Styela clava: one gene and its partners. The protein of the gene in region 4 purifies or fractionates together with the protein of the main gene of each other region. This does not show direct contact. Links are inferred from orthologs where the notes say so. Each region holds a gene or a part of one and is shown on either strand. Other genes may lie near its edges. The genes, in order: small nuclear ribonucleoprotein Sm D2-like, pre-mRNA-processing factor 19-like, U5 small nuclear ribonucleoprotein 200 kDa helicase-like and U2 small nuclear ribonucleoprotein A'-like.

Region 1 (7,103 bases), on a different chromosome or scaffold from region 4:
AAAGAATTGATATCTTTCGTCGTGATAGTTTTATTTTTTCTCGTCGAGGTCTGCGTGCCAATAAGAAATTCTTCACGCATTTCTCTTAAAAAAAAACGGGGAACCACCGCCTAACATTATATGTCAGCTTGTAACCGTTACAAATGGACTACGCCTACTTTTAATATAAAGGTAATAAACATCACCAATTATCGTACCAGAGAAATATTTCCAAAGCTGATTTTATTTAGTATAACACCATATGATCGTTAACTTTCTTTCAATTTGGAATAACTACAAGCGAAATTGTCACAAAATAATATCAATGAATAAAGTTAGTTCACTGGACGCATCAAACACCCAATATACTAGGGCTGAGAAATCTTATTTTTTGTTGCACAGAGCTACGCTCAGATACACATCTAGTTTTTAATATCTAAATATCAGTTTTCAAAGAATCCCAGACGCAGTGATAGTTTTCTTCCAAAATTGACTGCACACTAATACTATAGCAGACTCGACGCAATACAATTTGAAACAATGTCTTCTTTTTATTGAAAATCAATATAAAACCATGATTGCAGACTTCTGGCTCCTGTACAACATATATGCGCAGGAATACCTGAAAATTTGTCTTCAAGCAGGTTGATAAAAATGATATTCGCAGCTACAGCAGTTAGGCATCTATATGTCAAACTAGATGTAGCTGCGAAAAAAAAAACAACTAAGCCTTGGACTCAGCTGAAGCAAGAGGATTCTTCAGCACAATAATGATAGAGTCTCCACGAATAAACATCTTGCTTATAAAACGATCACGATTAACAGGCTTCTGCTTCGTCTTTCCTTTACCAGTTTTTGGAGTTTCTGTCCACATCTCCTTCACATTTTCCAGAACCATATTGCAATGCCTGTTAACAGAGATAAAACTGTTGTTGCATGAGAATAAATCAAATCTGTGTGGGAACTTACAATACCGTTTCATATACTTTAGCAATATTTTATATAGCAAAATCTGCTTACCTATCGAATGCTTTAACTCTAGCAAGTAACTTTCTGTTATTTCTGCAGTTGATCAATATTTGTGTATTGTTTTTCACTGAATCAGTCAACACTGATAAAGGACCAGTTTGAAATTCTTCTTTTTCTCGTGCCTCCAACTCCTCAGCAGTCATCTCACTCCTTGGTTTGTTTGCAAGCGCACTGTAGTTGTCGAATTGAATACCGAATTAGTAAACTGGAGCGAAACGTATAGGAAAATATGGGGTAAAAGATATTGTCAAGCTGTCTATATTTCAGTATTTGAGAGTCCACTTACTGCCTTATGCAGTAACTTGATACCAAATGGGGATTTCTGTATTGCCTAGTTCAGTCGTTGAATGTATAAAGCGGTCTGGCAGACTGGAGGTGGACTAGACCGCTTCACTCACAACATTAAAGCTGTAAAGCCAAAACAAGCATATTTCGAGTTCAGATTACAGGATTATATCAAGTATGAAATGTTAATATCAATCAGTAGAAGTAGGCTAACTATCGTTATAAATATTGATAATTACTGAGTTACTATAATTAAGGCTGTTAACGGGGGTCTTACTACTGTACTACTTACTGAATACATCGCATTACAGAGGAAAACAGCGCGAAACAGTGGAAACCAGCGCAAAACAGGTGACACAATTATTACCACTTCATGATGGCACCTGCCACGAAAGAATCACGGTACCTCTCGCCATGGTTTTATAGCGCTACCCGTATTACCTGTATATTCACGTGGTTATGTACCGGTACCGGATTTTACGTCATCATTTTTTGGGGATTTTTTTGGGAGGTACCGGTACCTGCGGGTCTTTTGACTAAAATAATGATTAAAAACCTATTTTGCAAATAAAACATGGAAATATTATATTGCTCCTAACGTTTCATTTTTGTAGTAGAAAATTTCCAAGGGCTCCCTCAAACATTAACTAACCAATGATTCACATTGTCGCTATTTTTCTCATGCAAAATCATGTTGATAACTAGTTTATAAAACATAAAAACTGTTATATTGTACTCACGCCATTTTGCAGTTACTCCGTATGTAGATACAGATTAAAACCGATTATGATCCAGCAATGACGCTGAAAAGAAAATTCCACTCACCAACCGACAAGCGAGCTACGAGTACGAGCGGCAAAAGTAAGTCGTATATAATATAGTAGACTCCAATCAGTAATTTCGTTTCCCCGACCCTTGACCCCTTAAAAATTCCAATATACCGTGAGACGAGGCCCTCGAAAACGACTATAAAATGAGTTTCGTATCGCACATATGGTAATATAATAATTTTTTTAGTTTCGTATGAAAATCAACACACTAAACGCATTACAGCTTGTTCCCATTAACGAAAGTTGCACATTTTCTGTAACTATGCAATTCAAGAGTCCTGCTGCACACTTAGAAACGTTTCGTCTGACCAAAATCAGACCTCCCTAGCCAAGCAATTTACAACAAAGAACAGCATAAGAAGTTGCGTTTATTTTACAGAAGCTATCAAACGCATTCATCTTTATGCAATGAAGTCACAAATTAACACGAGAGCACGAATACACAAAAAAAATCGATTATATATTCGCTGTTTTAAGTTTGCAGATATAGCTGAGCAATACCATAGTCTATACTTTATAATATATACTCTATAATGTATTCTTAAAACATCTGAAAATCTATCTGCTTGAACTCAAAACGTCAGTTACGATCTTTTGATCTTCGTACAAGAAAATGTCAAGCGCAAAAGCTCCACTGATCGTCAAGCTGCTAGTACCTATACAGTTACCAAACTGCCCGAAAGTAAAATGTCCGACCTGGTAACAGTGCTTGAGAGTGAAATATTAAAAACTCTGAGACTTGAAATACCAACCATCATTAAACAACCCATGGAAAGGTTGGCCCATGATGTTTCTTTACTCTCCCCCCTCTAGTATTGGCATCCAGGAGTCGTTGTCATCACTAGATGAATTTCTGAAGGAAGTGAAATCTCAACTATCCCTCTGAAGTGGAGGAGATAAAAAAAAGCCAAGACTTCATCGCAAAGAAACCAAAACGAAGTTATTACCAAAACCTTATTGTCCAAAACAGAGGTAACCTTAGATAGATAGATAGTTTATTTCGAAAACTCCATAACAAACCTAAATTAAAAATGGAGAATTCTGGAGGGCAAGCAAAACCTACAAAAAAGTTTAAAACATGAAGTATCTCATGTGCCTGCCCACCAGCACGCACACCTTAGATCAACATGGCAAATATTTAACAAAATCAAAAACACACATAATAAATCAAAGCAACAAGTTGAGGAAATCTGTCTGAAAAATGGCAGTATCACTAGGTTTGACTTTTCGATTTCGAACAAATTTAAGTACTTCTGAACCATTGGGTCCAGCCTCTCTGAGAAGTTTTCAAATGATTCGGGTAATTTCAAACATCTTCCCCATAATCGCGTGAGCAAGTCCATTTTTATGAGTTTGGCTACCGCAAATGAACTGTTGGTAGAAATTCAAAATCTGAAGGTTAGGAAGGCAGTTGGGCCAGACAATATTCCGGCCTCAAATATGTTGCTGACCTTGTTGCTCCGTGTCTAACAGAGTTCTTTAATTGCTATCTCTCACTCGGCATATTCCCTTCATCTCTCAAAATTGAGCGGGTAATTCCTCTTTTTAAATCTGGAAACAAAAAACTTGCTTCAAATTATAGACCGATATCTATTCTTTCATCGATTGATAAAATTTTTGTTTGTACGCTCAATTCACAAGAGGCTTACTAGTTTTTTCATTAAATATGTTGTCATGAATTAATCTCTATTCGGTTTCCAAAACAGTTTTCAACATCGTATGCCATTTTGGGTACTATATTTTTTATATATGACAAACTATAAAAAAAGGAGTTTGTTGGTGCAACCTTTTTAGATTTGAAGAAGAGCTTCGATACCGTAAGGCGTAAATTGAGCGGCAGATCACACAGTATGTTCAAGTAGGTACAAATCCTTTTCTTACCGGTGTTTCACGGGTTCCCACAAGGTAGTTGTTTAGGACCTCTTAGATTTTTTGTATTTATTAATGACATAACTAGGGCTGGGCATATTCGAATACCTGATGATTCCAGAATCGAATCGAATCTCGAATACTTGAGATATATATAATTGTATACAATTTTTTTTATTGTAACTGATTCTTTCAACGAATGAATTACTGAAAACGTAGAATACATCACTCAGACAAATTGCGAGCGTTCACACGCAATAAGAAACACGTTTTATCAATAAATCACTACAGAAAATAGTCATATGTCTGGAATGCATTGAAAAAATAAGGCTTCAATAAAAAAAAAATTAAGGAATATACGTTGACCATTGGCGATGAGAAAAAAAAATAAGATGGCGGCGATTCGAAATGCCCAGCTCTAGACATAACTCGTTGTTCTTCATTATTTTCCAAATTGTTTGCCGATGATACCAATCTCCTCGATAGTGACAAATCTCATGTAGCCCTTCAATAGAGAGTGAACACTGAAATTGCAAAAGTAGCAAATTGTATGAGAGCCAAAAAACATCGATAAATCAAAAACTATGGTAATTAATATCACCAAATAAAAGTAAAGCTCAAAATAGTCTGACAGTCCAAATTGATGATACAGAACTTGAAAATGTCAATTCATATATATATCTTGGTTTATATATAGATAACAAAATGAAGTGCATGGGACGTTCAAATATCTGACCTGGCTGTTAAATTAGCCAAGTCAGTGGGAATACTATACAAGCTTCGACATTTTACATAGCTAACCACTTTACGTATGGTCTCCTATTCTTTATTTCAATCCCATATTCAATATGGTATTGTGGCGCGTGGTTCAGCAGATAAAACCTTATTGCATCGCATCGAAATTCTACAGAATCAAGCGATTTCAGATGTAGAATATGCACTCGTCTTAGTCCTATTTATCGTAGACTTGGTTGATATTTACAAAATTGAAATGTTGAAATTAATGCACCATCACCACCACAACGAAAAACTTCCTCCAGCATTCACTACCTATTTTTTAAGCAGAGTGATGTGCACTCATATGGAACACTCTTATTATGTAAATCGTTTTTCCACCAAACTCACCCAAAATAATGGTTCTCCTAATTTCTTTAGTTCCTATTACTAATTGTTGTTCTCTTCGTGATTGTGTTTTTTGGTTAATTTTCTTTGAAACTTGTTTCTTCCCTATATTTTCTGCTCAATTCAGGTATCGCTGATTAGACGACTAATTGAGTTTTTCGCGACCCCTCATCAATTGTTATGAATCAGTGTGTTCCCGTATTTTTTTATTCTTGTGTGCGTTTATTGCTTTACATTGATTCTTGCACGGTAAAATAAATATCTGAATCTGATTTTTCACTGAGAAATTTACACGGAAAAGTCAAGAAAATTGAGGCCCCAAAACAGAACCTTGTGGTATAAACATATTAACATGTTTTGACGTAGACCTCACATTACCATAAATGACATATTGCATACGTTCGCTTATGTAACTTTTGATCAGCGCCATGGTTTACCTCGTATACCATAATGATGAATTTACTGCAATAATATTGAGTGATCAATGGTGTCAAAAACCTTTTCCAAGTCGACATAAATGTTAACAAAATGTTTTTTTTCTCCCAATATTCATATAATGATTAAGGATGCCAAGTATGAGTACTTACAAGTATTCGATTCTTATCCGATTCCTAAATTTTCGATTCCGATTCTCGATTCCTCGACATATTACCGAAAAAATATACCCACCCAAGCAATACCATATGAAATCAAGCAAGACAGCGATGTTCAAATTCTGGACGGACAAGAAGGCCGAAACTAAGTAGTATGGGTATCCAATATGCCACAGGAGACAAAACCGCACAAAAAAAAAACGAATCCCTCAAAACCCACAGAGATTTTTAAAATAAATAAACGTTAAAGCCTACTAGCGATATTTATAATATATATATTATATATAGTGAAGTTTGTGGTGTCGTAGCAACTCAACATAGCAGTGAAGCAGTTTATACATATATATATATGTGAAGAAATTGCCACTAAACGTTACACATTGTTTGCAAACAAAGTTTCAAACTCGAGAATCGATTCCGGTGCATGGAATCGATTCTGTAATCGAATCCGGACTCGATTTCGCCATCCCTAATAATGATGAGTAACGCTGTCTAAAACTGCGTGAATAGTTGAGTGTTTCAATGTAAAACCGAATTGTTTATCTGACAAAATATCGAATTTGTCCGAATATTCTGTCAATCTGGAATGCGAAAGATTTTCAAAAACTTTCGATATAGCTGTGAGCACTGAAATTGGTTAATAATTGCTCACTATGTTTGGATCTCCTGATTTTAACACAGGTGTCACTTTTGCCACTTTCAGGCATTGAGGAAAAACTCCTTGCTACATGCATGCTTTAAAGAAATCTGTAGAGTACTTGCTAATGATATAAATCATAAGATTTGGAACACGAATATACAGACCGTCCGGACCAGAAGCTTTTCTTGAATCCATTTTGTTTACAATGGAAATAGTTTCATATGCTAGTATAGGCTCCAGATAGATTGAATTTTTCTGAGGTTTTCCCAAATACTTCATAGAATTATTTGTCAGTTTCGATGCAAGATTAGGACCAACATTTACAAAGTAAGTGTAAAATTCGTGGCATATGAACTGATGGTTGCATATGATGCCATGAGTTGTCTCAATTTCGTGTGGAAATTTTCGTTTACGTTTCTTATTGTTGATTGTTATGATACGCCCCAAACAACGATATTTCATGCTTGTATGGAAGGTTTATGATTAATTTAATGACGAATCTTGAGTATTCAGCAGACACATACTACTATATAGGCTACCGTAGGCATTTCCAACCTTTTTAGTGTCGCGGGCTCTTTTTTCATGGGGAAATTCATTGCGGGCCGCAAACGTTTTTACCAAACTCAAACACCAACCCAATTCTGATTTACGTTAGAATTTGAGCGTCGCTAAATCAAACGCCTGGATTGCACAACAATTTTACGGATTTCTGCACACAAAGACCATGGACCATGAAATTCAACTCAACTTTTGTGC
Region 2 (7,422 bases), on a different chromosome or scaffold from region 4:
ACCATAGCCGCAAAGACCAGAGACGTGATTCTGCCTATTCAAGCCATAGCGACAAATCTCTTCCTTCTTCGCCAAATCTGAGAAAATCCTCTCCAAACACTTCCGGTTCAGCAGCGAATGAGATCACACATGTTACGTTCCAAGCGAAGCGAATCCAATCCGCTTTTATGCAGAGAGTGAAAGACCTTGCTTATAAGTCATTGGGAAGGTGTGAACCCGTACCGGAAGAGGTCACAGAAATTCCGCATACGTCACAATCGGGAGAAAACGATAGAGCAAATGAAGATGTCGTTGGTCCCGATGTCGGTCGTTCGCCAACTGAAAATGACAACCACGATGTGGCGTCAACGACGACTAACGAAGAGCGACATGTCTCCTCCTCTGACGAAATACAAAGTCCAGAGAGAAAGTCACTAAAAAGAGGTAAGAATACACATTAATGTTGTCGATGCGATGTAGCTCATAAAGGCAATACTCAGAAACCTAAAATTTCTTTTAATTCCCGATGAGGTACTTGATGAACAGGTTTGGTCTCCCGCGACTTTTACCACCTAATTTATTTAATATGTAATTACTTTAACTTGTTGGAAAAATGAACTGTAATATGACTTATTATTGTGAACTGTAAGTCGAGTTTATGGTCGGTTTTATTTTGATCGATGTGCGCCAGTATTCGAGCAATATGGACTCACCAAGGATGTACCTGCTTCGTAGGCAGACCTGACTAGTATTTTGAACTTTGTGTCACGTTTTCTTAGCTTGGTACCAAATACCAAACCAAAGCAATCATAATAATATGAGCAATCACACTTGTAATAGTTTCAACACCACAAACTTATCTCTAAACCCCGTCTAATTGTTAGCTTTCAATAAACTCCTTATTTCACTTTCAGCATCTGAAAAACCACAGAAGTGGAAGCGACAACTATGCAACGAATGGTATGAAATACCTGCCAAGAAGTCGAATGAAGACAAACATATGCAAGACAACGAAGAAACTGTGCAATACAAAGATAATGAGAATATAAACAAAAGCCAGGATAGTGAAGCGAAGGGAGATAGTATCGATGGCGCCTCACCAGTGTCACGAACCCCCGATGCATCCCATGATGACACTTATCCGCCGCCTCAAACCAAATCTGTGGCGCCTGGTTTTGATGCCAATCGATTCGCCCCTATCATTGAATGGAAGCCAGTTATAACAGGTTGGAAAGACTTGGTTTATGGCACAATGTATGCGGTGCCACCTCAGATTCAGCAAAGCTTCCTCGGCCTAACCTCGCCATTTGCAGATCCAAGACTTTTATACAACGACAATGGAATACACGGGATAACCGGCGATACAACCAATACCTTCAATATCAAACCCGGAGTTGACTCACTCAACCACGAAAACAACAGCGACCCAGCGTCTAGATTTTTCCGGTTTTCACCAAACACAGTCGCAAATTTCGCATATCGAAAAGAAAGTCAGACTCCGACCACTCCTGAATCTGCCCAATCGGGTATCTACAACCACTACTACCCGTCTGAATCTCTTCCAATATCCGGTTATAGTCGACTCCAACACGCACTTTTATATCAGTGGGATCCAAACCGAACAAGGCTTGACGGTACATCTTCTGTTCCCCAGTCCGCCAATCTTGTTCCCGCTAATTAATTAAATAGCGTCAATAATATTCTTTTCCTATTTTGCTTACTATATAATACTTTCTGTATCCAGGATAACAGCTGTCATTTTTATTACTTTATCAATCACTTTCATTCAAGTTTTATTTTCACCTAGTGTTGCCCTCGCTTCTGAAACAAATAACTGAATATTTACTATTCCCATACGCGACATGAACTGGGGGGCCGAGGTACGCCATATGATTAAGACATCTTTTCGCCTTTCCTCTTCCGCAGGAATTATAAATTTCAGAAATCCTACTGATATCACGAGGAAATCGTCATCAACTAGGTAGCTTTCTGTCAGTCAAAATATGAATAACATGATTTTGTTCGGAATGAAACACCTTCTAGATTCTTGTACAAGGCCCTTTGTTGTCAGTCAATGATGTGCAAGCTACATGGCAATAATCGCCCTGGTTCGCTTATTTAACCAATTCTCTTGCTTTTGGTTCTGATTAACATAGCCAGCCACAGTTGCGTAGATAGCTCCATAAACAATTCAGCAGAGCAAACGTGTTCTTGGTTTGAACATTGAATTTGCGGTAACTCGGAACCCAAAGTTTTATTTGCGACTTGGTCAATTTTGACTGACTGGCTGCGCAACTGCGGTATTTAATAGGTTTAAATTTCATAAGTATAGGGTTATCGCTACGGCATGGAATTCGGTCTAAGCATTTTAGATAAAACGACTAGTAAAAATAAATCTTCCTTCATTCTCAAAGTTTACCTTCAACCACAAATACCTCAAACTTTGTCGCATTGATACATTTAAAACTGTATATTAATTTTTCCAATACCATTTACCTCAGGTTACTCGGAGCACTGTTATAAGCATACCTCTCTGTATAAGCATGTTTGACGAAGATGTACAGTTATAATTTTCATCTGTATTTCATTGTTATAGGTATACAGTGTGACTACATTTTATGTATTCAGTATATTTTGCATAATTTACTTTACTGTGATGAAAATATAGCGTCGTAGACCTCTAGTTATCGATTTCCATCCATTATTACTTCATTCCGTTGAACCAACGGAACTTGTTTAAGAAAAGTACATATAAATACTGGTGCGAAACCTTTGTGGGCGCAAATCCCTCCAAACCTCAAATCCGAGTAGATTTTAATATGACTTTACCAAACTTTTCCCGACTCGCTTAATGACGACCAGAATTCCAGAATATTTTCTTTACATATTGCAAACTCAGGTAATTCAAAATATAAAGATCCTTAATTCTTCTTTTCTTGCATCCAATGCCTTCGTATAACAAATAAAAACAATTATTGTAAAACTCTTGTATTTTTTATTGAACAAGTTTATGAAGAAAGTTTGTGGAAGCCATGGCCTAGTGCAGCGATCGCCAACCTGTGGCTCGGAGCTCTGTCTCAAAGTTGTTTTTTAGAAGCGTTGAGGCATTAATGAGAGGCGGAGGCATAAAGCTAAATACTCCCCACTAATTACACATCACAGCGGTCCCCAAACTATACGTCGCAAGCGGTAAAAATAGGTTGCATTAATGCGATTCAAGTGTGTAAACACTCTCTTTTTTTAGTTTTGCAAGCAGTTTTCATTTCGTCATAGATTCTATTATTGAATCTTCGTATTTTTAAGAACTTGCTTATTGCATCATAAGTGGGTTTCCGAAAGTTTTATTAGCCTCTGACATAAGAGTATATGTTGCGGCTCGGCAGCGCGGCGGTGTGGCTCATCGTGCTAAGCGTTAGGAAAACTCTCGCCATAGCACCTCTGATTACTCTGCGTGGTTTCGCATGTTCGAATCCAATTCGGGAATGGTTATGTGCGAGAGGATTGCTGGACTCTTCGCCGCCGTGGGGTGGTTCACGTAACCGCTGGCCGTGCAAGTCCATGCTTTCGAAAACAAATAACCAACTAATCCCATCAGTGGCGTATCTAGGGTGTGGCAGCCATGGCTCGTGCCATGGGCGCCGTTTGAACAGGGGCGCAAAACGGGCAAAAAGTATTAATCATAAAAAATTTCAATTGGGAATAATTGAAACTCGTATTTTTACTCAGATAATAACGTACAAGTATCTCAATTAAATAATAGTCATTATAAATTGTCAAACTATCAAGGGGGCGAGTTTTCAGAATTTGCCATGGGCGACATTTTACGTAGATACGCCACTATCCCATACCCGTGCCAACCCGTGTCCTAGTGGTTGAAGCGTAAGACTTCGTTCTCATTTGCCTTGTGAGTTGTTTAAGAAACCATATATCAATACTGGTGAATGTGGGGTCTTTAAATGTGAGTAAATTTTATTGATAATTAATCATTATGAACCTCAAGTATTTTTTTTTTTGAAAGAGAGTGTAATCCGCATATAAAAACAATTTAAATAGTCGGGAAAAGTACTGACGAAACTTTGACTATCACCATAGGTGCGGTAACCGGACAAGTGGTCGTGGTTCGCCTTATGATTAAGTCGGCTTTATTCTCCACCGATATAGATGAAATATTGTCCTATGCTAAAACCTTTCCGAAAGTGGTGCGACTGATTCGGAGGCCTCTATCCGATGAACAGCAGTATGGTAAAGAGTCGCTGAAACAAACCAGTCCGAAAGTCGCTATTGGTGTTCAAAAATTAGCTTTAAAATGGTGCGATAAATTAGGCTAAAATTAGCTATCAGTACTAGTTTGTAAGACCAACTCGCAATAGACTCCTAAAAATAAATCCATGAAGAATATCTTTCGGGTCGAAGGTCTGGAAAATATCCATCGGCACGAAACCACGGAAGTCTTGTTGGACACCATGCATGAGTGACTTCATACGGCGCCGCCATCTTTGATTTTAGCTCCAAGTTTTGAAGATCATACTATTATTGGATTGGGATTGTATGTTGTAATTGTCAAAATGTCGTTAATATGCACAAGTAAGTTGATTGAATTTAAATTTATTTACGTATTTGGAAGTAATTACGTGCAAGAGGATTACTGGTTCACGCTACCGCTATAAGCTTTCCCCTGTGCCCTTCCTTTGATATTTCTGTATTTGTTTCCAAAAAAAACATGTTTTACTGAAACTTGTTATTTGTAAATTTTTCAAAGGGGTCTAGGGTGGTGCAGCCAGTCTGTGGACGATTTCATTCAAACTGCTATAAAATTAAAACTAATATTTCTAACCTGTTAATTTTTTCACCATAGGTCTGTAGGTGCATTGGCAGGGTCTAGTATAGTTTAGTACCACAAGTACTTCCAGTCTGCCAGTGGGCGTAGCATAACGATTTTTGCATATGTTATTCCTAACCCTCACCTGACTATGCCATCCAAAAATTACTACACTACGACGTCACCATCACGTCATACTGTCATAGGGATTGTCAAAGTATAATTACGATCGCCCGAAATGGCATCTGCGCTGCCGATAAGAACTTGCTAAAGCCGGCGATCTCTCTCCTATCGTGATCATTGCGATGAGAAAACGAAAGAAATAGCTTGCTCGATTTCGGGTTATCGTCTGCGCCTTTTGGACAACCATCCGCATACTTCGGTGGGCCGTGTTACGCCACTGTGACGTCGGAATGACGTAATTTTTTGGTGACGTAGTCAGGTGGGGGTTAGGATTGACATATGCAAAAATTGTTGAGCCAGGCCAATTAGAAGTGTATGTGGTACTAAACTATACCAGACCCCATTGGCATTTATTCTACACGGTAAATCTCGAATTAACTTTCTACGACCAGTGGTTAAAGCTATACAAACCATCAAAGTATGACACTCGGGAGACGTATTTGCGACCGAACGACCAGTGTGCAACCGCAGATTTCAAGCCTTGAACATCGCTTATGCTGCGTTGAGACTAGCACATACGCAGCCATGCGTGAAAAAATTGGGCTCCTAATTGCTTTTTTGACCGTCATATATTTTGAGAACACGATTATTTCGAACACAACTCGTCAAATTATAAACAAAGCACCACATCACAGCAATCAAACAGACAAAAACACGGTGATCGCAAATTGTTCGACAAAGATATTATTGACGTATTGGAAATGTGCACCCCCCTATTTCCCCTCCCTTAAATGTTGAAACGTGAAACTTTAAAGATGGTTAAAAGAAACAAAACTCTACTCAGCTGCCAAGTTTCATGTTTTTATCTCCTATATTTCTATAGATTTTCAAGCTTTTTGGAGCGACAATGGGTAGTTGGCGACATGAAAAAATGGTCCGTTTTTTTTCTCCGGGCGGGTTTTCGGGCGTAACTTTTTTTGTTTGTGGCCGCATTTTAGTGTAATTCCGCAGAGATACGAGGTATGAGTGGACGAAATTGGGTGAGAAATATCGTCGCGGTTCATTAATTTTTTCGGTATTAAATTAACCGATGAAGTTGATGGCCGCAAATGGGTCGTGGCCGCAAAGTGGGTAAGCCACCCTACTATAGTTTAGTAACACAAGTATACCACTAGTTGGCGTAGCATAACGAATTTTGCATATGTCATTCCTAACCCCCACCTGACTATGCCATCCAAAAATTATGTCACTAGGACGTCACAATCACGTCATAGAGCTTGCTAAAGTGTAGCTGCGATCGCCCGAAATGGCATCTGTGCCGCCGATAACGAACATCGGCGATCTCTCTCATATCAGGGTCGTTGCGACGAGAAAACGAGAGAAATAACTTGCTCAATTTTGGATGATCGTCTGTGCATTTGGGACGTCCTTCCGTATATTTAGGAGGGCTTTATTACGAAACTGTGATGTCATAATGACATGATTTTTTGGTGACATAGTCAGGTGGGGTTTAAGAATGACATATGCAAAAAGGTGACTGTACATTTGAACCCATGTGTATATCCGCGGGTGCTAAAACCCATGGGTTAGGGTCAGTATGGGTTAAAATGTCCGTAAAACAAAAAAATTTACGTGTGTTCAAATGTACGGGAACCATGCAAAAATTGTTGAGCCAGACCAACTAGAAGTGCATGTGGTACTTAACTATACCAGACCCGTCATAAGTATGTCCTATGGACTCCTATGTCGGTATATTGAACCCCAGTTATAATAAACTTCGACTGACTGACGTATGTCTGTATGTGAACATTTTGACACATTCCAGATTTCCAGCATTCTGTTATTTGCCAAAATGATTGTCTCTTTCTCACTGGATGGTGAAACAACCAGACCTTTCATTTCAAAAATTCATTTTAATCCTTTTTTACAGTCAGTGGAGAAGTGCCAGATCACCCATGCATATCCCAAGTATCTGGATGTGTATTTGAACGAAGATTGCTTGAAAAATATGTCCAAGAGCATGGTGTCGACCCTACATGCAACGAACCTATTTCACCGGAACAGATAATTGATATAAAGGTTGATACTGCGTTATATCTGACATGGGCGAACTACGGCCCGCGTTGCCAAATCCGGCCCAAATCCAATCTGGCCTACCTGATGCTGCCACAACCAACTAAAATCAAATAAAAACCATATATATTTGTATTGATGACTGTATTTTCGGTTGACCCAATAATGAATCTCTCTTCTTTCTGTCATTTTAGGCATTCGACATCTGAAATAAACGACAAAAATAGACTTAATTCATCTTCTAACAGTGCAAAAAAAACAATTCCAATCAGAACAAAGTTTATATTATCTATCTTACTTTACCAGATTCAGTTTCAACGAATTTACATAGTACATACAAATTCCTCTGTTGAAAATTGCCACATTAGAATATTTTCTATATCTTATATTAGCAAACGTCACTTCAGACTTCAATTATAATAGCGGCT
Region 3 (7,009 bases), on a different chromosome or scaffold from region 4:
TTTTGGTTATCTGGGCTATCATTATTTAATTTAATTCTTTACCTTGGTAACCTTAAATACAACACTAATTTCTATTAAACTTATTATATTTGTTTCAAGGTGCAAGAAGTGGGATGTTCCAATTGAGAAAGTCTACAATAAAACTCAACGTGACAAATTTGCTTGGGCAATAGCAATGGTGGATGAAACATATGTTTTTTAAAGCTATTATCTCAACTCTTTATTTTTTACTAATTACTTCCTTGATTTATTTTGTTATGGTTTGCTAAATTTATTCGTCCGGGATTTTCCAGTTTTAATATCATCGCCCTGTTTAGTGGTATGTTTCAACAGTTCAGGGATTGCTGGCGCTCTGTATTACAGTAATTCGTACTAGTTTATCGCTTCATCAGTCTCAGCATTTATAAGAAGCAATATCAACGATACACAGGTTAATAATTGGATCAGTATTTGTGTTTATATATGGCCTTGTGAACTATTTTCTTTTATAACCATAGCTTTTTTAACCCATGAGGGTCTGGAGCCTTTATTGTGAGGGATAGTTCAGTCTATGGCCAATCATTAAAAATATCGATTTTGTAACTGTCAATATATTTGCCAACTTCATTTCTTATGGTCTTGGTACAAATCATTTGCCTATTAATGTGAGGCCAATAAAGGCTCTGGCAATACTACTGCTTTCTTAGGATTTCGCGGTTCTTATAATGATAATGAAAGTTTTGTACATATCTTCTTCTAGGCAATTTTCTATATTTGCTGCTTTATGGTGTCCGCTTACATTTTCTTCACTAAGTTTCATCTCGAATCATATAATAACATAAATACGGAGTCTGATTCAGTGATGGAGCTTATGAAGAATTTTTAGGTTTTAAAATCTTTCGTTTGTTCCTGAAATGAATTGATCTATATCAAACCATAATCGACTGACTGCTGGTCGATTGTGATAGATTTTGAATTTTTATGGAACTCTAATTTTATGTTACATAGTTCGATAGTTTAAATTCCTTTTTTGTGAGGTAGGTAACAAGGTATTTATCTCTGCATTTTTTAAGTGTTCTTATTTCATTTTGGACATGCTTATACCAACTGGAAGCTCCATAGAAACATATTTTTACTTTGTGGAAGTCCCCTTGTTAGATGTCATTACATCTATATCTTCGAAAGTTTTTATTCCACTGAATAGGATTTTTGTCACAAATTGAATTTTTTCACTACCATTTCCGTTGTATACAAACTTTATATTGATTGCCGGTTCTATAGTATGAAATTTGTATGTGACCGATTAACTGCTAATATTTTTGATTGTTTTATTAAATGCACAAGGAAGTATTTGTAAAGCATGCTTGTTGTTTTTCTTAGTAAACCATGGGGAAACCATAGTGAAGCAGAGCTCATACAAACATGAATGTTAAGCTTTATAAGCAAGTTACGATTCTGTTAAAACTGCATCCCTGAAACCAGCTTTAGTTCTGGGTAGCCTCGTGATGTTCAGTTCAAAATTTGGCACTTCTGAAGGATGCGTACCGAGATGGCGGACACCAGAATGTAGTTTGTGTACCAGGTTAGGGGTTGGGCCATAGTTTCAGGTACAAATACTACGGTGGTCACTTGGCTTGTGACAGCAATTTTAGCCTGTGCCCATGTTATATATTCATGAAGCTGGCTTGGTTTAGGTTCAAATCCTATACTTGTTTGAATCAGCCTCTTTTAAGTAGGAACAAGGATTTTTAGATAAACAGTTTTTATTTATTTGTTTTATCAATAATTTTATTACCAGTTATGCTGATTATGGAGTTGAAATAAACTTCTACTCACAAAATACAAAGTGACGATGATACCGCGCGTGGACTCTTCCATTGTTTTCGGGTCTGTGCATTTTCTCTGCATTGTTTTAGTTTTTATTATCTCATTGGACACTGTGGTAACTTTTTTGTATCAGCTCGATGCATATATGTAAAGTTTCAGTGTGAAGGTGGTTCTCACATTGAGTCTGTTACACCTAAATTGTCGTTATCATTATCCGGCAATTAGGTGTGATTTCCTTGACTCCGCGCACATCATGCCGACGTTTGTCGTGCGTTCTCAGTTTTTGAAAGTTTCTGATCCCCACACGCGTTATTGTTATAGGTATAATTATGAGATTTTTTGCGGTATTGCAGTATTGGGAGAGACGTCTTTATCACATGGCTAACCAAGGCTTTATCGATATAGATTATATAAAACATCAAGACTTGTTGCAGAATTTGGTTTTGGTGTGTGTGCGCTAGCAAAAAATAAAAAACGGTAATTTAGCGTTTTCAGGTTTTGGTTAGAACATTGCAAACACACGAAAATTCCTCTTTGTCAAAAATTGGAAATAATTTCGACACTTTAGTTCGTGTCAGTGATTCAATGAAAAGTTTAGTCTATTTCATGTTCACGTCTTCATGTAATGCCATGGAGCACTGTGATTTACTAGAAACTGAGAAATGCACTTGAGATTTCATGACACAGGCATTTGTTCATCTTCAGTATATCTACGGTACAGTCACAGATATAAATAATACAGTAATATGCGCCGCCTCGGAAGTGTAAGTCATCATGCTAAGGCATAAGGGTTAGGAATACGCTGATTAGGTTCGTAGCGGTACTGTATTACCCCAAGCAGGGGTAATTCCAGAATTCACAAGTTCCAATTTTGTTGGGGACGTCGGTTAGGCATGGATCCCGCCACCATCATGCAACTTAAAGAAATAACTGGCTGACTAATCCTGTAATCCCATACACGGCATGGGCTGGTGACCGGATGCTGGAATGAAAGGCCTGGTTATGCTATAAGATTAAACCATATTTCAAACAAGTATAGACTCGAATGCCCTTTTATATCAATAGCGATTTACAGATTTTCCTGTGCTGAAGGGTAATTGAAAGATTAAGCAAATGAAAAATTTGTTAGTGACATATTAGTTGAACAAAGTTTATTAAATATTGTAAAATGAACATTCAAACTGTTTAAAAGCTTGCAAAAATCTGTACCCAAGGAAAGTTGTTAATTCTCCCTGTCATATTTTCGAGCATCACTCTCATAGATCAGTAGAGTATAGGGTGGCTTACCCACTTAGCGGCCATGACCTATCTGCGACCATCAACTTCATCGATTAAATTAATGCCGTAAAAAATAACGAACCGCGCTGATATTTCTCACGCGTTATCGTCCACTTATCCCTCGTAGCTCTGCGAAATTACACTAAAATGCGGCCACAAATAAAAAAGTTACGACCGAAAAAAAAAAACGGACCATTTTACCATGTCGCCAACTACCCATTGTTCCTTCAAAAAAGCTTGAAAATCCATACAAATATAAGAGATAAAGAGATGAAACTTGGCAGGTGGGTAGAGTTGTGTTTCTTTTAACCATCTCTAAAGTTTCGCGTTTCTATCTTCAAAGTAGGGGGGTGCGCATTTCCAATATGTCAATAATATCTTTGTCAACTAATTTGCGACCACCGTGTTTTTGTCTGTTTGATTGCTGTGATGCGGTGCTTTGTTTATAATTTGAAGAATTTTGTTTGAAATAACCGTGTTCTTAAAATATATGACGGTCAGAAATGCAATTAGAAGCCCATTTTTCCACGCATGGCTGCGTTTGCCCTAGTCTCGACGCAGCAGAAACGATGTTCAAGGCTTGAAATCCGTGATCACAAACTGGTCGTTCGGTCCCAAATACGTCTTCAGAGTGTCGTGTAGAATAAATGCCAATGCACCTACGGTGAAAAAATTAACGGGTTAGAAATATTGGTTTTTGTTTTATAGCGGTTTGAATGAAATTGTCTGCAGACTGGCTGCACCACCCTAAGACTGTTGTGCAGAATCACATAAATTACTATTAGACGGAGGTTATGAGTGGGGCAATACATACAATATGCTTTGCTAGTTGAATTTGTTTAGAAAAACTGCATCAACCGTTTTCACATGTTATTATTTATGTTTTACCACAGATATATTAAATCTGTAGAGGAATCGCTGTCAATAAAAAAACAGCATGGCGGATGCCTCCGCCCGTTCACTGCAATATGAATACAAAGCCAATTCTAATCTTGTATTGCAAGCAGACAGATCACTCATTGATAGACGACCAAGAGATGAGCCGACAGGAGAAGTCATCTCATTGCAGGGAAAATTAACTGGATCAAAAATGGGTGATAGAGCGCAGCGTACAAGACCACCACAGATGGAAGAGCGTCGAGCAAAGCGATACAAGCGTGACGAGGATCAAAAATCTTCTGTGAAATTGAAAGGAGCAACTCTGTTATCTGAGGGAATGGATGAGATGGTTAATATATTATATAAACCAAAAACAAAAGAAACTAGAGAAACGTACGAGATTTTACTCAGCTTTATCCAGGCTGCATTGGGTGACCAACCAAGAGACATTCTTTGTGGCGCAGCTGACGAAGTGATAATTGTTCTTAAGAATGATAAACTGCGTGATAAGGAAAGACGAAAAGAAGTTCAATCACTGTTGGGAGTTCAAGAAGATACTCGCTATCATGTTTTGGTAAATTTGGGCAAAAAGATTACCGACTTCGGCACAGATAAGGATGCTGAAACCGCAGATGATAACATTGATGAAACATATGGTGTCAACGTCCAGTTTGAATCGGATGATGAAGAAGAAGACCAAGAAAACAGGTATGGTGAAGTTCAGGAGGAATCTGAAAATGAAGATGATGATGAAGAAGGTGGCGTAGAGGCAGATGCGAATATGGTTGTTTCTGCTAATCTTACCAACGAAGCCGGAAATGTCAATATCATTAAGAATCGTGGACTACATCCTCGCGATGTTGATGCTTATTGGCTGCAAAGAAATTTGAGCAAAGTTTATGATGATGCAATCGTTTCGCAAAAAAAGGCAGAAGAAGTCTTGGAAATTTTAAAGACTGCGGTTGATGATTTACAATGTGAAAATCAATTGGTAATGTTGCTCGGTTTCAATCAGTTTGATTTTATCAAAATTTTGCGTGAACATCGACAAATGATTCTATATTGCACTTTACTTGCGAGTGCACAAAGTGAAGCTGCAAAAAAACAAATTGAAGATAGAATGAAGAACGATCAAGAATTGTCAGTGATTCTCCAGCAACTGAACGAAACTGAGAAAGAAGATATCATTAAAGAAGAACAAGAACGCAGAGAAAGATTACGCAGAAGCAAAGTTGATGCTGATCTAGAAGCAATGGAAACTGACCAGACAGATGAAACTTTACAGCCAAGCAAAGGGGTTGATCTTGAAGATATCATGTTTGAACAAGGATCTCACTTGATGGCAAATAAAAAATGCCAGTTACCAGATGGTTCTTATCGCAAACAACGTAAAGGTTACGAAGAAGTGCATGTACCTGCTTTAAAACCAAAAGTTTTTGCTGATGATGAAAAACTTGTTCCAATTGATACTTTACCCAAGTATGCCCAAGCGGCTTTTGAAGGGTTTAAAAGTTTGAACAGGATTCAGAGTAGACTTTCCAAGACTACACTAGAAAGTGATGAGAATATTTTGCTGTGTGCCCCCACTGGTGCTGGAAAAACAAATGTTGCACTCTTGACTATGTTGAGAGAAATTGGCAAGCACATCAATTCTGATGGAACGATTAATGTTAATGATTTTAAAATAATATACATCGCTCCAATGAGATCACTGGTACAAGAAATGGTTGGAAATTTCGGAAAACGGCTTGCCGCTTATGGCATCAAAGTCAGTGAAATGACAGGTGATCATCAGCTTTGCAAAGAAGAAATCAATGCCACACAAATTATTGTCTGCACACCGGAAAAATGGGATATTGTGACAAGAAAAGGTGGTGAACGAACATACACACAGCTGGTACGTCTGTTGATTATTGACGAGATCCACATGCTTCATGATGATCGTGGTCCTGTCCTGGAGTCTGTTGTTGCAAGGACAATTAGATCCATCGAAACAACTCAAGAGGATGTCAGACTTGTTGGACTTTCTGCTACTTTACCAAATTATGAAGATGTTGCCACATTCTTGCGTGTTGATCCCTCCAAAGGGTTGTTCTTCTTTGACAACAGTTTTAGACCATGTCCTTTAGAACAGCAATACATTGGCATAACAGAAAAGAAAGCAATCAAGAGGTTTCAGGTTATGAATGAAATTGTTTATGAAAAAGTTGTTGAAAATGCAGGTAAAAATCAAGTTCTGATTTTTGTTCATTCACGAAAAGAAACTGGAAAAACTGCTCGTGCTGTTAGAGATATGTGCTTGGAAAATGACACTCTAGGACATTTTTTGAGAGAAGGATCCGCTTCCACAGAAGTTTTACGAACAGAATCTGAGCAAGTAAAGAATTTAGAATTGAAAGATCTTCTGCCATACGGTTTCGCAATCCATCATGCTGGAATGTCAAGAGTTGACAGAACATTGGTTGAAGATTTATTTGCTGATCGTCATATTCAGGTACTTGTTTCAACAGCCACACTTGCTTGGGGTGTCAACTTACCTGCTCATACTGTCATCATCAAAGGCACACAAGTGTACAGTCCAGAAAAAGGTAGATGGGTTGAATTGGGTGCACTTGATGTACTTCAGATGATGGGACGAGCTGGTAGGCCACAATATGACACCAAGGGTGAAGGTGTTCTTATTACATCCCATAGTGAATTGCAATATTACTTGTCGCTTTTGAATCAACAATTGCCTGTAGAAAGTCAAATGGTTGCCAAACTGCCAGATATGCTGAATGCTGAAATTGTGCTGGGTAATGTTCAGAATGTCAGAGATGCTGTGAACTGGCTTGGGTACAGTTACCTGTACATTAGAATGCTTCGACAGCCTACTTTATACTCCATAAGTCATGATGCACTAAAGGCTGATCCTCTTTTACAACAACATCGTGTTGACTTGATTCATTCTGCTGCAAACATATTAGATAAAAGCAATTTAGTCAAATATGATAGAAAAACTGGGCACTTGCAAGTGACAGATTTGGGCCGGATTGCTAGTCATTAT
Region 4 (6,925 bases):
AATTGTTATGCTAGGCCCATTAGAAGTACGTTAAGTACGAAACTACACGAGACCCAAAAAATCCTATGCTAGAAATATTGTGTTACTTCTTGTATGATCAATATGACTGAAGAATGAAAATCTATTTATATCGAGACCATTCTTTTAACAGTTTTCTGACATGAATTACCGGACTTCCGGAAGCAGCAATTTTGGCGTCGAAGTTCGTTTGATCTCTGGCTGGTGAATTTCCATCCAAAATAGAGTTTGAACTTTCGTTTGTAACATTTTGCACTTTTTCACTTGTGTTCTTTTTATCGAGGATTGTGTTCTTGACTACCAACCACCCTGGCTTTGCTTCCTTCATGGTGGGATTGATAATAAAATGATATAAATCGTCATTTTGATCTTTGTCAGTTACGGATGCTCCCTTTTTAGCAGCGTCACTTTCAAACTCAACTTTTGATATCGGGTTTAGAGTAGTAATCCAAAACGACCAAGGTGAATGTTGTTCCAAAGGATGGAAGTTCTGCTTTGTGATTGTTTTTCCTCGAGGAGAACCTAAAGCGCTTTCGGTGGCCGTTTTCAATTTTTTGATCGGTGACTGAGAATCTTCACCATTTGTTGTGCTTAATCGTCTTTTTAATGTTGATTGACCATTAGAAGTAAGCAGTGCAGCTGCTTGAGAATGGGACTCATCGCTGTCAGAAGATAGAGAGTTACTTCCAAGTTGGAAAAAGCTTCGTAGAGACATTACCCTTCCTGAATTTTCACATATGATAGTTGGTGACTTTGAATCTAAACTGTGACTTGTATCCCAACCACACATCGCAAGTATTGCCGCTGTTATTTCAACAGTAAATTTAGATTGAGATTCGACAGTATCACTCGCGTTACTTTCTGAATCCTGCTGTGTTTGACACAGAACTCTTAGGTCAGCTTTTGACAAGTTCAGAGCAGTTGTAATGTTTGGATCTAAATTCGGGAGTTTTGTTCCAAGCTTTATGAGATTTTTTTCACGTTCTTGATACTGTGATAAGATCTCACTTGGTGATGCACTACTGTGAAAAAACGGAGAAACAAATGAATTGGAACATGGGTAACTCGGCCATGAACATATTTTCATGTGAGATGTTATAACTCTCTGTCGGTAATCAAAGCACTGCTGACGATAATTATCAGCATCAGGCCATGGAAGACGGACACACATAACAGCGGCACATGAACAACATTTAACAGTGTCTACACCGATACATTGCCAACCATATTGAGCAAATAGGGGAGGACTCAATGCAAGAGGTTTTGCCATCCATTTTGATACAGTAAATGTGGCAACTCTCTCAGTGAAGGATTCCAATCCTCTCTGCTTTTGTGATACAGTATCTGCTTCTCCCTTTGCTTTCTTAATGAACGAGAAAAGCGTGTTCTTCACTTGAGAGACGAAAGATTTTGAAGATCGCTGGGCAACAGGTGGCGATGTAGCTCTATTACCTAATAATGAGGTCGATACGCCCTCATCAGACTCTGACATATTTGAACCTATGAGATATGCGGAAAATGATCAATTTAACATGAGAATACTAGCAATAAAAGTAATAAATGACAAATAACATATATAAATTTCTTGATTAAATTACAAAATCAAATATGCGTTGGCTTACACATCGGAAAAATCATCACAATTCAACAAAGCATTTCAAAATAATCAGTTTGCGTTATAAAATGTTTTTGATAAGTCTGCAACTGCCTGCTTCACACCACCAAGATATTCTTGTAACTCCTCTCCAAGATCCAGAATTAGTCCTATGTTGCATTCACTGTTGGTTACAAAACTGACGGTCAAAGGCTGTCTAGTGAACTTTATAATATTGTAGTTACTATAAGAGCATATAATGTATTTATTTCTTCCGTAGCCAAGTTTACTGGCTTGATCAGTTGCCAAGGTAAAAGTCCCCAAAAATGCAGGCCGCAGGGTGTAATCAGGTGCCTTTTCGTTTGCAATTTTCAGAACAGGTACTCCATCTCTATCTGAAACAACTATTGCGTACAGACCGTCAACGTTGCTAAGTTGCCGATAGAGAAATTTCTTCAAATCTTCCGACATTATTCTGATAAGCGAAGTGAACTTAAAGATAAAAATGAAATACTGTTGCCAGATTTTTGTAGATATTTGTGCCACCTCATTGGATGTTCAATTTTAAGTTGAATTGATATAACTTTTCTAGGGTGGAGGTCTTTAAAGTTTTAAATTGGAAGATTTTGTGTGTTCCAAATTTTACAATGCTAAAAAATACGATTAGTTGTTTAATTTTATGGAATACAATATGAGAACTATAGCAATATGGCAACAGTAAAGGCCGCGCGTGATATTTTACTCTCTTGTTCTAACATTTATTATTTATCATATGGGAAAATATCTTTTATATTTTCTTTCAAATAACTATATAATTTTAATTTTCGTGTTTTTCCAATGTTTTAATTTTTTTCAACATATTATAATTAAAAGGGTAATTTTAATCATTAGTCTCCCTGCGTCGTGTTAAATTCAAACCGGTAAAATATAAAACGAATTTCACGAGTAGTTTCTAACTTGGGTGAATTGCCTTGTCACCATTCTGCCATTCCAGTCCCTGGTCCCAACTAAACTCTTACATAGATAATGGGATAGCTTTATTGTGTTGAAGATAGTTTTGTTTGAAGTTTAGGAAGATATTCCACCCCGTTCCGATAATTTAAGGGTCGTTTCCGTACCGGTAATTCAAAGTCAGATTTGTTTTATTTGTCACTTAAATCGAAGAGTTTTAACATACGGTAATTTTAGGGCAGTTGTTATACGGTACCGATATCTCTACATGTAGACTATGTATTTTTTATAGTTTTTTTTCTGTATTTATTGTGAGTTGGCATCCCTGTAGTATTCTGGTATTATTCATACCCCAGCCAGACAGGCCTGTCAGTCTGTAATATGGCTTATATCACTGTATCAGGGGTGGGCAACCTTTTATCGCTCCTGGGCCAAGATTAAGGGTTGCACATCATTGGCGGACCGCACATACGGTATCTCTAGAAAGTTGAAAACCGAACGGATGATAGTTTTTATAATGAAAATCAAGCAGTGATACATCTCTCGAATATAATGTAGATTTATTTCCTCATTGCATTGCATCTCAAAAAGTTCCATTTGAATATTTTTGGCGCTATTGAACCCTTTGCACTTAGCATCATTAAACTAGTCATTGTAAATTTTATACTTAAAATTTAAGATTATAATATAATTTAGTCTACACGTGTCTCACAATAAATTCGGTTACGTAAAGAATATAATCGTCAAAACAGCTGTTTTGATACTATAATTCAGTGAAGTGTCGTGGGCTGGATCGGGGCCGTAGGTTGCCGACCCCTGGCTTATATCAATTTACAGAGGTATGTAGTTTAGGAGGTCAAAATGGGATTGAGTCCAATTTTCTGATGTGGCTTTATCGAGAGAAATCTCAAATGTGATATAAGTGATCTCCATGTTCATTTCATTCCTCAGTTTCTAAGAAGTTTTGTGGGAATCACTAATTTTGCTTAACTCCTAAATTTTATTTATGATATTTCTGAAATGGAATCCAAGTTCAATAGGGTATGCTTAAAGCAGTTTTATCATTAAACATATTATATTACATGTTTGAAGTTTGCATGACCTAGGCAATTTTTTATCATTATTACTGTAATTTGTCTTATTAATAGGATAGGATTTACATAATCACACGGCCTATCGTCCAATTACCATTCCATGTCGAGTATGGGATTAATTAGTTACTTGTTTGTCTTGAAATCAATATCAATTTTGACTTGACTTGTTGAGTTTGATACTCTGTCCTTCTTGTGGCGCTCCAGAAGTATGTTTGCCAAAATGAAGGTAACTAATTTTGTTCGCATACTTTACGTCAAGTTGTGTAAGGGAACTGAAGCCCATGGGCAGGGGGTATATTCACTCAGCTTACAAAGACGGTACCCAGACTTGTAATAGAACTAAAATATGGAAAATCAGAATAAAATTATGGCCTAACCTGGTACACACACTACGGAAGTATTGTTGTCAATCTACTAACATTTTATTATATCTTCAGATATTCTCTGACTCTATAATCGGTATGATAACACTGGAATAAAGTTTTTATTCTTTCTAAAAAAGCTGTTGAAACTTGATCATGGTGAAATTAACCCCAGAGATCATCGAGCAAGCAGTCCAGTATGTAAACGCTGTACGAGATCGTGAACTGATCTTACGAGGCTACAAAATTCCTGTCATTGAAAATTTAGGTGCGACTTTGGACCAGTTTGACACAATAGACTTTTCTGATAATGATTTACGAAAGTTTGAAGGTTTTCCGTTGCTCAAACGGATAAGATCTTTGATGTTTAACAATAACCGTATTTGTAGAATCGAAGAAGATATTCATCTGAGTATCCCTAACTTGAAGGAGCTTTACTTCACGAACAACGAAATTGCGGAATTGACCGATCTTGATTATTTGGAAGGATTTAAACACTTGGAATTTTTGAGCCTATTGCGCAATCCTGTTACTCATCACAAAGAATATAGACTTTATGTTATTCACAAATTACCACAAGTACGAGTTTTAGATTTTCGTAAAGTTAAACAACGTGAACGAGAAGAAGCCAAAAAACTATTCGGTTCGAAAAAAGGGGAAACACTGCTCAATGACATCAAACAAAAATCAAAGAATAGGACTTTCACTCCAGGAAAACCAACACAGCCGACTGCCTCCATTTCAGGGCCGTCCGCTCAGGATAAGCAAGCTATCAAGGAGGCAATCATGAAAGCAAAATCTCTTGAAGAGATAGAAAATCTAAAAAGAATGCTTCAATCTGGAAAAATCCCCGGGAAAGATAAAAACGGTCTCACAAACGGTGCTGATAAAGAAGAGGAGACTGAAATGGAAGTGTCCTAAATTCACCTCCAAAATTGAATGTAAAATGATAAAAAAACGGTGGATTTTTCAGGATTACTTTGGGCTGTGAGGCGAAGACGTGTTACTACGCTATAAGAACTAAATCTGGGGACTATATTTGAACTGGCCTTAGTTGAAAAGTACAAAAAAAGTATTGATTTGTCACGCTTAATCTGCATTAAAAAATCAAAATAGTGTCGACTAGAAGGGTAAAAAGTAGTGTTTCGGCTCACTTTTTTGCACCAAAACTATAATTAAAGTACATACTTTGTTGGCAAATTATTTTTTGTATCGTTTTTTAAAATATGCATATTTGGTAATTATCATATGAAATTGAATTCCTATTAATGTAAAACGTACAGAAACAAGTTGAGATGATTTCTTCGAGAGACTTTTTAATTTTTACAAGAGACAATTATTCAACAAACATATGTAATGAAGCCTAATCAGACTTACTATTTCACAATACTTCAATAAAAGCTAAGGCCGTCAAATAGTCCTTACAGCAGTGGGTCTCAACCAGTGGGCCATGGCCCACTGCGCGGTCACGTTAACATTTTGATGCTAATTTCATTTGTGTCACTATAGTTTAATTCTAATTGTAGTGGCAATGAATGAATGGTGCTGTTTTTCCTACTGAGCGGGCCACAGAATTTGGGTAACAAAATAAAATAAGTTGAGAACCGCTGTCTATCAAAGTTGAATCTTCGCTTTGGTGAAAAGGTTTAATTTGGGCCAAGAGGCAAGAACAGATCACTAACACTGCATAATTCCAACTGTGCAACATTCTCAGTTCATACAGGGTCAAAGGTCAGATTGACCTTCCCCCTATTATATTTTTATCGTGTACATACATTTCGTAGTGATCTTTTCTACTGTTTTTTTTAATCCTAAACGCATCAATGACGAGTTTCACGTCTGATATTTCAAGCAATGTGCATTTTGGAATTTTCTCAAGTCTTATGTAGATTAAAACTGTCGTTTATACAGTATGTTCTGGTTATATTCTTCATATTTCCTGTTTACCTTCCAAAAATGGACTTTTGACAACTTGGCAATGATTCCAATTCAATTTGGCTCAATTTTTGAAGGGCGTATTGTTGTTCATGTTTAGTTTTTGAAAATGCCCATTTTCTTCGTTTGCGTCATAAAACTGGCTATCTGAACAGCGAAATCTAACAGGAAAATAAATAGACAAACTCTCACAACTGGTGGAAACAAAACTTGAATGTTTTGTTCCGGATGTCTGATTGTCTAGCAAAATAGTTCTCCTAGGAATCTATGCGACTAGTTGTCTTAACTTTGGAAGACTTGAAAAAAATATTAGACTTCGTCTAGGAATGTATATGTTATTTGAACTTATTTCTTACTTTTATTTTACTGTAAGCTATGATTGATTTGCAGTGATGCTTTGTAACTGCTATGGCCAAATTTCAATAAATGAAGTCGTACCTTCATGAGTTTAATGACATCGGGCTGGTGATGGCAATCTTAGGCTTTTTCACAGAGTGGGAATTAGACTTAAATAACCTTCTCAGGACAGGACCATGGCTTCTGGGGCCAGAGTGCAGGATTTCTCCGGAATGAGAGATAATTTAACAACCTAAATAGCAATAACCTGTGTTTCAGTAGGTATGCAAGCGTACATGTTGTGCGAGTCAAGATATTTGCTGTATTCATGTTAGTGTGCAGCAAGACTCTTGAATCATACAGGATAGTTATCTTTACTCCTGCTACAGTACCCTCACATTTATATGCATGCAGATCCACCAGCATAGAAGGATTATTAGTTAGTCACAAAGAAACCCAATTGGTATTGCATTTTGTGTGTCGGCGCTCCACCAAATACAGTTAAAACTGGTAAATGATAATGTCTGTCTCATTCTAGCATGCACAAGTTCCAACTTTACTTGCTTGTTCGGGAAATTAGGCATTGTTCGCTGTAAAGGCAAAGTTGATTATGTAGACTCCCACGATCGTGAGCC

What was found.
Region 1: the proteins of U2 small nuclear ribonucleoprotein A'-like (region 4) and small nuclear ribonucleoprotein Sm D2-like purify together in Homo sapiens (affinity purification with mass spectrometry; 5 studies listed by BioGRID and IntAct, counting the BioPlex papers as one, with this or other methods). This does not show direct contact. The link is inferred for Styela clava from reciprocal best matches to the Homo sapiens genes SNRPA1 and SNRPD2.
Region 2: the proteins of U2 small nuclear ribonucleoprotein A'-like (region 4) and pre-mRNA-processing factor 19-like fractionate together in Homo sapiens (co-fractionation; 3 studies listed by BioGRID). This does not show direct contact. The link is inferred for Styela clava from reciprocal best matches to the Homo sapiens genes SNRPA1 and PRPF19.
Region 3: the proteins of U2 small nuclear ribonucleoprotein A'-like (region 4) and U5 small nuclear ribonucleoprotein 200 kDa helicase-like fractionate together in Homo sapiens (co-fractionation; 3 studies listed by BioGRID). This does not show direct contact. The link is inferred for Styela clava from reciprocal best matches to the Homo sapiens genes SNRPA1 and SNRNP200.

What each region holds. Positions count from the first base shown.
Region 1 is NC_135253.1:644,468-651,570, reverse strand, and holds small nuclear ribonucleoprotein Sm D2-like, read right to left. Parts: upstream 2,195-7,103; 5' UTR 2,039-2,194; coding exon 2,034-2,038; intron 1,180-2,033; coding exon 1,000-1,179; intron 888-999; coding exon 704-887; 3' UTR 511-703; downstream 1-510. UniProt on the Homo sapiens protein: Plays a role in pre-mRNA splicing as a core component of the spliceosomal U1, U2, U4 and U5 small nuclear ribonucleoproteins (snRNPs), the building blocks of the spliceosome.
Region 2 is NC_135252.1:20,701,118-20,708,539, reverse strand, and holds the start of pre-mRNA-processing factor 19-like, read left to right. Parts: upstream 1-4,403; 5' UTR 4,404-4,544; coding exon 4,545-4,563; intron 4,564-6,851; coding exon 6,852-7,000; intron 7,001-7,422. Other genes in the region: uncharacterized protein LOC120343531, read left to right, coding at 1-423, 894-1,660. UniProt on the Homo sapiens protein: Ubiquitin-protein ligase which is a core component of several complexes mainly involved pre-mRNA splicing and DNA repair. Required for pre-mRNA splicing as component of the spliceosome.
Region 3 is NC_135263.1:8,545,216-8,552,224, reverse strand, and holds the start of U5 small nuclear ribonucleoprotein 200 kDa helicase-like, read left to right. Parts: upstream 1-3,981; 5' UTR 3,982-4,021; coding exon 4,022-7,009. Other genes in the region: DNA topoisomerase I, mitochondrial-like, read left to right, coding at 100-202. UniProt on the Homo sapiens protein: Catalyzes the ATP-dependent unwinding of U4/U6 RNA duplices, an essential step in the assembly of a catalytically active spliceosome. Plays a role in pre-mRNA splicing as a core component of precatalytic, catalytic and postcatalytic spliceosomal complexes.
Region 4 is NC_135254.1:5,249,829-5,256,753, forward strand, and holds U2 small nuclear ribonucleoprotein A'-like, read left to right. Parts: upstream 1-4,071; 5' UTR 4,072-4,175; coding exon 4,176-4,940; 3' UTR 4,941-6,397; downstream 6,398-6,925. Other genes in the region: uncharacterized protein LOC120344131, read right to left, coding at 122-1,510; ragulator complex protein LAMTOR3-A-like, read right to left, coding at 1,685-2,083. UniProt on the Homo sapiens protein: Involved in pre-mRNA splicing as component of the spliceosome. Associated with sn-RNP U2, where it contributes to the binding of stem loop IV of U2 snRNA.